Yarrowia lipolytica: one gene and its partner. The protein of the gene in region 1 purifies or fractionates together with the protein of each later gene. This does not show direct contact. Links are inferred from orthologs where the notes say so. Each region holds a gene or a part of one and is shown on either strand. Other genes may lie near its edges.

Region 1 (3,492 bases):
ATCTCGGTGCCTCTGTACCAGCCCGGCCAGGTGCCCGATGGCACGTCCAACTCTGTCTATCTGCGGCAGTACATGGGCCACATGCTGCTGGAGGCCTTCCCTCATCTGACCGAGGGCCAGGTGTCCAACTTCATTGAGGGTCTGTTTGCATTACACAAGGACTTCCCCCGGTTCAAGCTCAATCTGCGAGACTTCCTGGTGCAGATCAAGGAGTATGGCGGAGGCAACACGGAGCATTTGTACGCCGAGGACAAGGAGCGGGATCGGGTCGAGGCCGAGCGACAGAACAAGGAGAAGGCTCTCAAGATTGGCGGTTTGGTCAAGCCCGCCGATATGGACGAGGATTTGTAGATCATGAGCGGAGCCAAAGATCCGAGCAAAATTGTAAGTGAGACCATCCATATCATTCAGTAAATATATTGTTGAAAATATCTGTGTACCATCGTACGATACTAGTACGAGTATTTGTGCCCGTATACTTGTACTTGTAATAGTATCTTGTATGTACAACTACTTGTAGCAACGATTCGCCTGGAGAGGGCTGTTGTCCACGACCTTATGCGGTTCTACAAGCCATCTATCTACCCCGTCGATTCTCTGTTATCCGCTTCCGCGGTTATTGCACTATGCGATCTATATACATTTATTCAGGGACCAGAGGACCGAGTCTGGACTTGACATCATGGGCGGCCACGCCGTACATGTTTCGGGCGTCGCTGAGCTTGACAATCTTGCCCTTGGAGCCGGGGACCATGCCCTTGACAATGACAATTCCGGTGTCCTCGTCAACGGATAGCACCTTTTGGTTCTTGAGGGTGACGGTCTCGTTACCCATGTTTCCGGCCATTTTTCGTCCGGGGAACACTCGTCCAGGATCGGTGTTTTGACCGGTAGTTCCTCCGGATCGATGCTTGAGCGAAACACCATGGGAAGCGGGCAGACCGGAGAAGCCGTGTCGCTTCATGACTCCGGAGAATCCCTTACCCTTGGAGGTGGCCTGGACATCGACGTACTGGCCGACCTTGAAGTGCGAGGCAGTGATCTCGGTGGTGATGGGAAGAAGGCCGTCCTTGCCGCGGATTCGAAACTCGGCAACCGCCTGCTTGGGGTTGACGGTGGCGGCCGAAAACTGGCCGAGTTTGCTCTTGTTCATCTTCTGCAGCGCCTTGTTTCTGTGTCCCATTCCGACCTGGACGGCGTTGTATCCGTGCTTCTCCTCGGTCTTGTGGCCCACCACCTGGCACAGATCAATCTCCAGCACCGTGGCGGGCATGTGCACGCCGTTCTCGTCGTACCACGAGATCATGCCTCGCTTGAACGCCAGAGCTCCGGTTCGAGACACCAGCTGCTTTCGGGCGTAGGCGGCCGCAGGCGAGTTGTTTCGAGCGGGAGCCTCGGCGGCGGGGACGTTGGCGTTGGGCGAGATGAGCTGGGCCACGCCGCGGCTGAACACGCGCACGGGAGTGGCCTCTGCCATGAGACGGAGTCGAGGCAACATTTTTGTGTGTGTGATCAGATCTGGGTGGTGGTTCTGCAATGTCAAAATCTTGGGAAATTTCACGGTAGGGTAACTTTGAAGCTAGGTGGGAGGACCAACCTGCGTTTACTTAGGAACCGAGGGGGGGTAATGACAACGGCTGAGAAAGAGCTGAAATACCATGGTGGACTCTGCAAGTTGATTGCCGGTGTCATTTTTTTCAATCCCACACTTTTTGGTGCTGGTTTGAAGTCATCTGTTTCCTCGATACAATTGTAGCTATTTCTCAAGTAACGCTGAGTCTGTTTGTTAAGTAAGTTAATCTGAGGTGAAAGTAATCTTAAGCGGACAGTATGACCATCGATAGGGGTCTTTTTCCCCCCAATTGCCCATAAACCAACCCACATCTACAGTGCAAATCTCTCTGTTAGTTCTTTCCGGTGCAACTTGCTCCCAAACACCTGCTACTGGTGGTCTTTGGAGAGCTCCTTCTACCCACACCCATACAAACTATAAAAGCAAATATACCGTACGTCTTACAATATCAGAGCAGTCCACCACACACCTCGCACACACTCACACAATGCTTCGACTACTGCGTCCCCAACGAGCTCTGCCTTCGTTGCTGCGACCTCTCTCGGTCGCCCGACCCCTGTCCACAACCAGCCGTCTGTGGCTCCACCAGCAGTCGACCGACGCCAAGAAGGACGACGAAAAGCTGCTGCCCGAAGACCGAAACCTGCGACGTTACGAGGGCCACACCTTTGAGCCGTTCACGCCCGAAAAGGTGCCCAATGCACCTGTCACCGTGGACACGGAGCTGCCTAACATTACCAGCCACAAGATGCGCCGATGGGCCGGATTTGGTCTGTTTGTGGTCATCATGACCGTGTCTCTGGCCTTCTCCTTCAACTACGAGAAGATGTCGTCTTCGCAGGTCTCATCTTGCATGTACACGCTCCGAAAGTCGCCCCTGGCCAACGAGGAGCTGGGCTCGGGTATCCGATTCGCCAGTGCCTACACCTGGGTGTCGGGAACCATTCGTCCTCTTGTTGGAAAGGTGGACTTCTCCTTCCCCGTCAAGGGAAACAAGGCCGAGGCCATCATGCATTTCAACTCGCGACGAGCCTCCGGCCGAGAAAAGTTCCGAGTGCTCGAGTGGTCTCTGACCTTCCCAGACGGACGAGTCGTCAACCTGGCCGACTCACTCATTGATCCCCTCATCATTGATGAGGAGGAACATCTTGTTAACTAGACCTTGTCATGTTGACGAATCCTAGAATGCGACGCTACTGTCGACATTCAGCTTATGTACATAGAATGACTAGCCTGCTTGAGTTGTAGACGTGAATGTAGCGGCCTATGGATCCATTTTGGGATAATATCAATAATGAGAGTCTCTAGAGCGAGCCGTTTGTTGGATATGATATATACATTAGCCTGTAGTACGAGAACTGCTTCGGTATCTTATCGGACTGTCAGACTCAGATACTCATTCAGACGAGTTGGTATCCTTGTCATCGCCTCTTGTCGGGGTATCGTTCGAGATATGTCATGCGAGGGTATAGCCAAAGCGGCGTGCGCTACTGTACAAGTACAGGTTCTGTTTCTACAGGTTTGTTGGTTGCGCGATTCATGCTAACCTCAACAGAAGCCACATGCTACTGGTGTCGTGTCAAATCTTTTCATAACCAATCTATTTACATTTATTTCACCTTGGTGGCCTTTCGGGTGATGGTCTCGTCGTCGAGGTAGATTCCCTTGCCCTTGTAAGGCTCCGGGGGTCGCTTGAGTCGAATGGAAGCTCCAAACAGCTTGACCTGCTGTTTGTCAGCGCCCTTGATGAGAATTCGAGTGGGGATGGGTGTAGTCACCTCGATGCCAGCAGGAATGACAAAGTTGATGGGGTGGGAGAAACCGCATCGAACGGAGACAATGGGAGCGCCGGTGTGGGCGTCCTTCTCGACTCCAGCTCGGTATCCAGTTCCCACCAAGGTCAGAAGAGCGACATGGCC
Region 2 (3,748 bases), on another chromosome or scaffold:
GCTCCTGTGGTTCCCAAGAAGAAGACCATTACTGCATCCAAGGTGGTCAAGCCCCGATCCGAGTTCCAGGGTTTCCCTCAGAGTATGACCAAGGTCAAGAATGCTGGATCTCGGGTTGCATACATGCCCAAGTCTGCTAAGCCTGAGAACATCATGCGGGCTACTTTTGCTAACGGTGATCACAGAGAGGCCACTTCTCGAACCCGAAGCACTGTGCGACCTTCCACTCTGGACCACAAGCCTCTTGTCTTTGGAGCCACTGACAAGGCTATTGAGGTTCCCCACGAGGGTCGATCTTACAATCCCTCTCTGGAGGCCTGGCAGGCTCTTCTCAAGGAGGAGCTGGCCAAGGAAGAGGCATTGGAGGAGGAACGACTGCAGCTGGAGGCCGACCAAGCCCGTGTCCAGCATCTCATGGACACCATGGAGGACCACGAGGACAAGCAGATGGATTACTCGTCCGAGGAGGAAGAGGAGGAGGCCTCTGATGAGGAACTCGAGGGCGGTAGCGTCGGTCTGTCTATCAACGCGCCTGCCAAGGAGAAGCGAAAGAGCATGGCTAAGCGACGACAGATGCGAGAACACAAGGAAAAGGAACGAATTCGAAAACAAATGAAGATGGAGATGAAGAAGATTCATGAGAAGATGCAACAGCTCGCCAAGCGGTCCGAGAAGTCCGAGCAGGAGAAGCAGGATCTCAAGGATCTCATTGCAGGAGGCGAGGCTGCCGAGAAGGTGCGAACCCGTCGGTACGGCAAATACGAAATTCTGGAGCCCACTCTCGATGTCAAGCTCTCAGGCGAGCTCACAGACTCTCTTCGACGACTCAAGCCCGAGGGATCGTTGATGCGAGACCGGTTCCGATCGCTGCAGCAGCGAGGAAAGATCGAGGCTCGAAAGCGACACAACCTCAAGCCCCGATACAAGAAGAAGGTGACCGAGAAGTGGTCTTTCAAGGACTTCAAATAGATGCAGATGGGATGGAATTAGTGAAAAGTAATATATTTTGGATTATACAGGATGTCAAGGTGAGATATTGGTATTGCGATACGACTACTGTATGTACAGGTACAGTGGTAATGGGTCTAATCATTTATGCGGAGCGAACGAGTTACTGTAGAGCAGACAATCTACAATTAGGACGGAAGAGATCTTCTACACTTATAAATCTGATTTTAAATAAATGCAATAAATATATAATACAGTAAACATAGTCGTGCAGTCACGATTTTTCGCTCTAAAATCCATACTTTGCTCCACTCTCCTTTTGGGTAAGGCGATTCTGAGAGTATGACGCCTCCAGCTGCTCCTTGTTGTCCTGGGCTTGTCGCAACAGACTGGTGATCTGGTGCTTGCCTCCTCCAATGGCCGTAAGAGGTCGCTTGTACTCGTCAAGCTTTCCTTCGGCCTTGAGTCTTTCCGATTCCTCCGTGAAAGCGTCCACTGAGAACTCGTGGATGTTGTCATTCGCCAGATTCTCAAATTCTCGATCTTTGCTTCGATTCTTGGGCCGAGGCGCTGCATCCAGCGTTTGGGCATGTGTTTTTTCAGAAACTACAATAATCGGTGGCTCAGCCACTTGTGTAACATTGTCCCCAATAGCCTGTGGCTTGATGATCTCGACCTTGGTGTCTTCCCTTACTTCCTTCTCCTGCTGGGCTCGCAAATTAAACAGGTTTCCGAGGCGTTTCGGAGCAGTTTGAGTCTCAGTTGTCGTTGAGTCCGCAGCCGCATCACCAGCAATAGTATCTACAACCGCAGTCTCTACAACCACAGTCTTTCCATCCGCCCCAACCGACTGGCCCTTGGCAGCTCGCTTTTCGGCTCTCAGCCGTTTTCGGACCGAGTTGGGCACCATTGTCTGCTTGTAAGATGCAGCGGTATTCACGGGGGACTCTGTCTGAGCCGGAGTCTTTTCCACCGCAGTTTCCTCTGTGCTAGTCTTGAGCTCTTCCTCTTTCTCAGTCAGCTTTTCAGGAACAGCAGTCGGGGTGTCCGTGGCGGAGCCCGCTCTGTCTGGAGACGCCGCTTTCTTAACGGGCTTGTTTCCCAACGCGCTGAACCGTTTCTTGTGTCGCAGTTGAATTTTTGCCATTGTCGCACTGATTCAGGAATCTTTTCAAAATCTTTTGGCCCATCACCACATATCCAGGAGAGCGCATCCTGTATGCAATGAAGTTACCCTACCTGTTCGCCTTGTCTCCAAACTCAAAATCTCATGAGGTCAAAATCTCACCACCCAAGGGCTCATATCACACACACCCACACATCACAGAAACATGTCTCAGGATCCCCATAACGGAAAGGGCACCTTTGAGGTGCACAAGCAACCCCAGCCCGGTCTCAAAGTGTGAGTATCACGACAATCGAGAGATTGACACGCCATGATATGTGTCGTAATCAGAGACAGGAGGTGGCTGCGACACTCAGGCAGTGTTGGCGGTGGAGGTTGGATTCGGGTGGCTAATGGTGGACGGGAGTGTGAAGAGAAGTTGTGGTTGAAATGGGCTATTTGAAGAGACGTGTTTGGTTGGTATTCCCCAAAGCGACTTGCAATCAAACTACCAATCTCACTCTCTTCAAGACACTACAGCTGCGTGCGACGATCAGAGCCACTGATCTCTCAATGCAACTCTGGGTTCAGTATCTACACGGACATTTTGTGACCAGGACAACACCGTGAATGAGAAATGTGTCTCCTTCATCCTTCTCTTCTCCAGAAAATCTACACGTTGTCTTGCTTGTGACAGACCCGTTTGAACTCTGCATTGCTGTGGCTAGCCACATGCCGCAACCAGCCAATCAATTGCTACAGCAAGCAGCACGTCGGTTTTATCACAACTACACCCTCTAAACTTTCGATGGTATCTTGAAGGACCTACTCCTGACCTCTGACCTCTGACCTCTGACCTCTGACCTCTGACCCCTGACCTTCGACCATGCTCGACCGTTCCATTCTAACACAGTTTCCGAAAGGGCAAGTACATTGACCCCAAGACCTTCCAGATGTCCCCCGCTCTGATTCGGGCCCGACGACCCTTCTTTGTGCGAAACATGCTCGCTCTGGCCGGCCTCACCGGTTTTGTCGCCGGTATCTACGGATACACCATGTACTCTCTGCGTACCGACGACTTTGGCGATGTGCCTATTCCTCCTCTTGATCCCGAAGAGATCAAGAAGCTCCAGAGCAAGTACAGCGACGACTCCAAGGCCTAGGTCTTTTGTATATATGTAAATAGTAAATTATTCTGACTGAGCACTGCGGGACTGACTGACCGTAATCAGGTCAGAAGTGCACCCAATGAGCTGTCTCATTGTGATTGTAGGTACGAGTAGACGACAATATAAGAACTCTACTCGTACCGGCACAACTGCGACCAGATACCATGTCCATCAGTTCTACTACTTGTAGCTGCCTGAAGATATGGTGCATACTGTAGAGCATGTAGGCATGTAGTGTTCGCTAGAGTAGGAACTGGACCCACTAACGTGGCCAATTGTAGTCGATGAGAGTTATATTGAACGAACAAGTGGAATTAACCACAAAATGTGTACTATCCTATCACCTCTATTTCATGTGAATGGTTTTATCTTGGGCGGTCGTCCAAACAAATATTCAAGTATCAGGTCAACTAAAAATTCCATAAAGTCAACTAAAATCCAAACTTAGTTTTGGATGACTGCTTCGTGCTAAACCAAAAATAGACTTTGAAAAGCAAGCTGGACCCTTACATGAGAGCAAAAGGGC

Evidence for each region.
Region 2: the proteins of YALI1_F13597g (region 1) and YALI1_A05220g purify together in Saccharomyces cerevisiae (affinity purification with western blotting; 4 studies listed by BioGRID). This does not show direct contact. The link is inferred for Yarrowia lipolytica from reciprocal best matches to the Saccharomyces cerevisiae genes COA1 and COA3.

What each region holds. Positions count from the first base shown.
Region 1 is NC_090775.1:1,358,278-1,361,769, reverse strand, and holds YALI1_F13597g (uncharacterized protein), read left to right. Parts: upstream 1-2,060; coding exon 2,061-2,732; downstream 2,733-3,492. Other genes in the region: YALI1_F13644g (uncharacterized protein), read left to right, coding at 1-351; YALI1_F13602g (mitochondrial 54S ribosomal protein uL3m), read right to left, coding at 644-1,498; YALI1_F13579g (mitochondrial 54S ribosomal protein uL6m), read right to left, coding at 3,184-3,492. UniProt on the Saccharomyces cerevisiae protein: Required for efficient assembly of cytochrome c oxidase in the mitochondrial inner membrane. Involved in a step coupling MSS51-dependent cotranslational insertion of COX1 to the addition of its heme A and copper B cofactors.
Region 2 is NC_090770.1:521,293-525,040, reverse strand, and holds YALI1_A05220g (uncharacterized protein), read left to right. Parts: upstream 1-2,279; coding exon 2,280-2,350; intron 2,351-2,966; coding exon 2,967-3,216; downstream 3,217-3,748. Other genes in the region: YALI1_A05254g (uncharacterized protein), read left to right, coding at 1-969; YALI1_A05229g (uncharacterized protein), read right to left, coding at 1,238-2,095. UniProt on the Saccharomyces cerevisiae protein: Required for assembly of cytochrome c oxidase (complex IV). With COX14, negatively regulates COX1 translation and is involved in MSS51 association with newly synthesized COX1.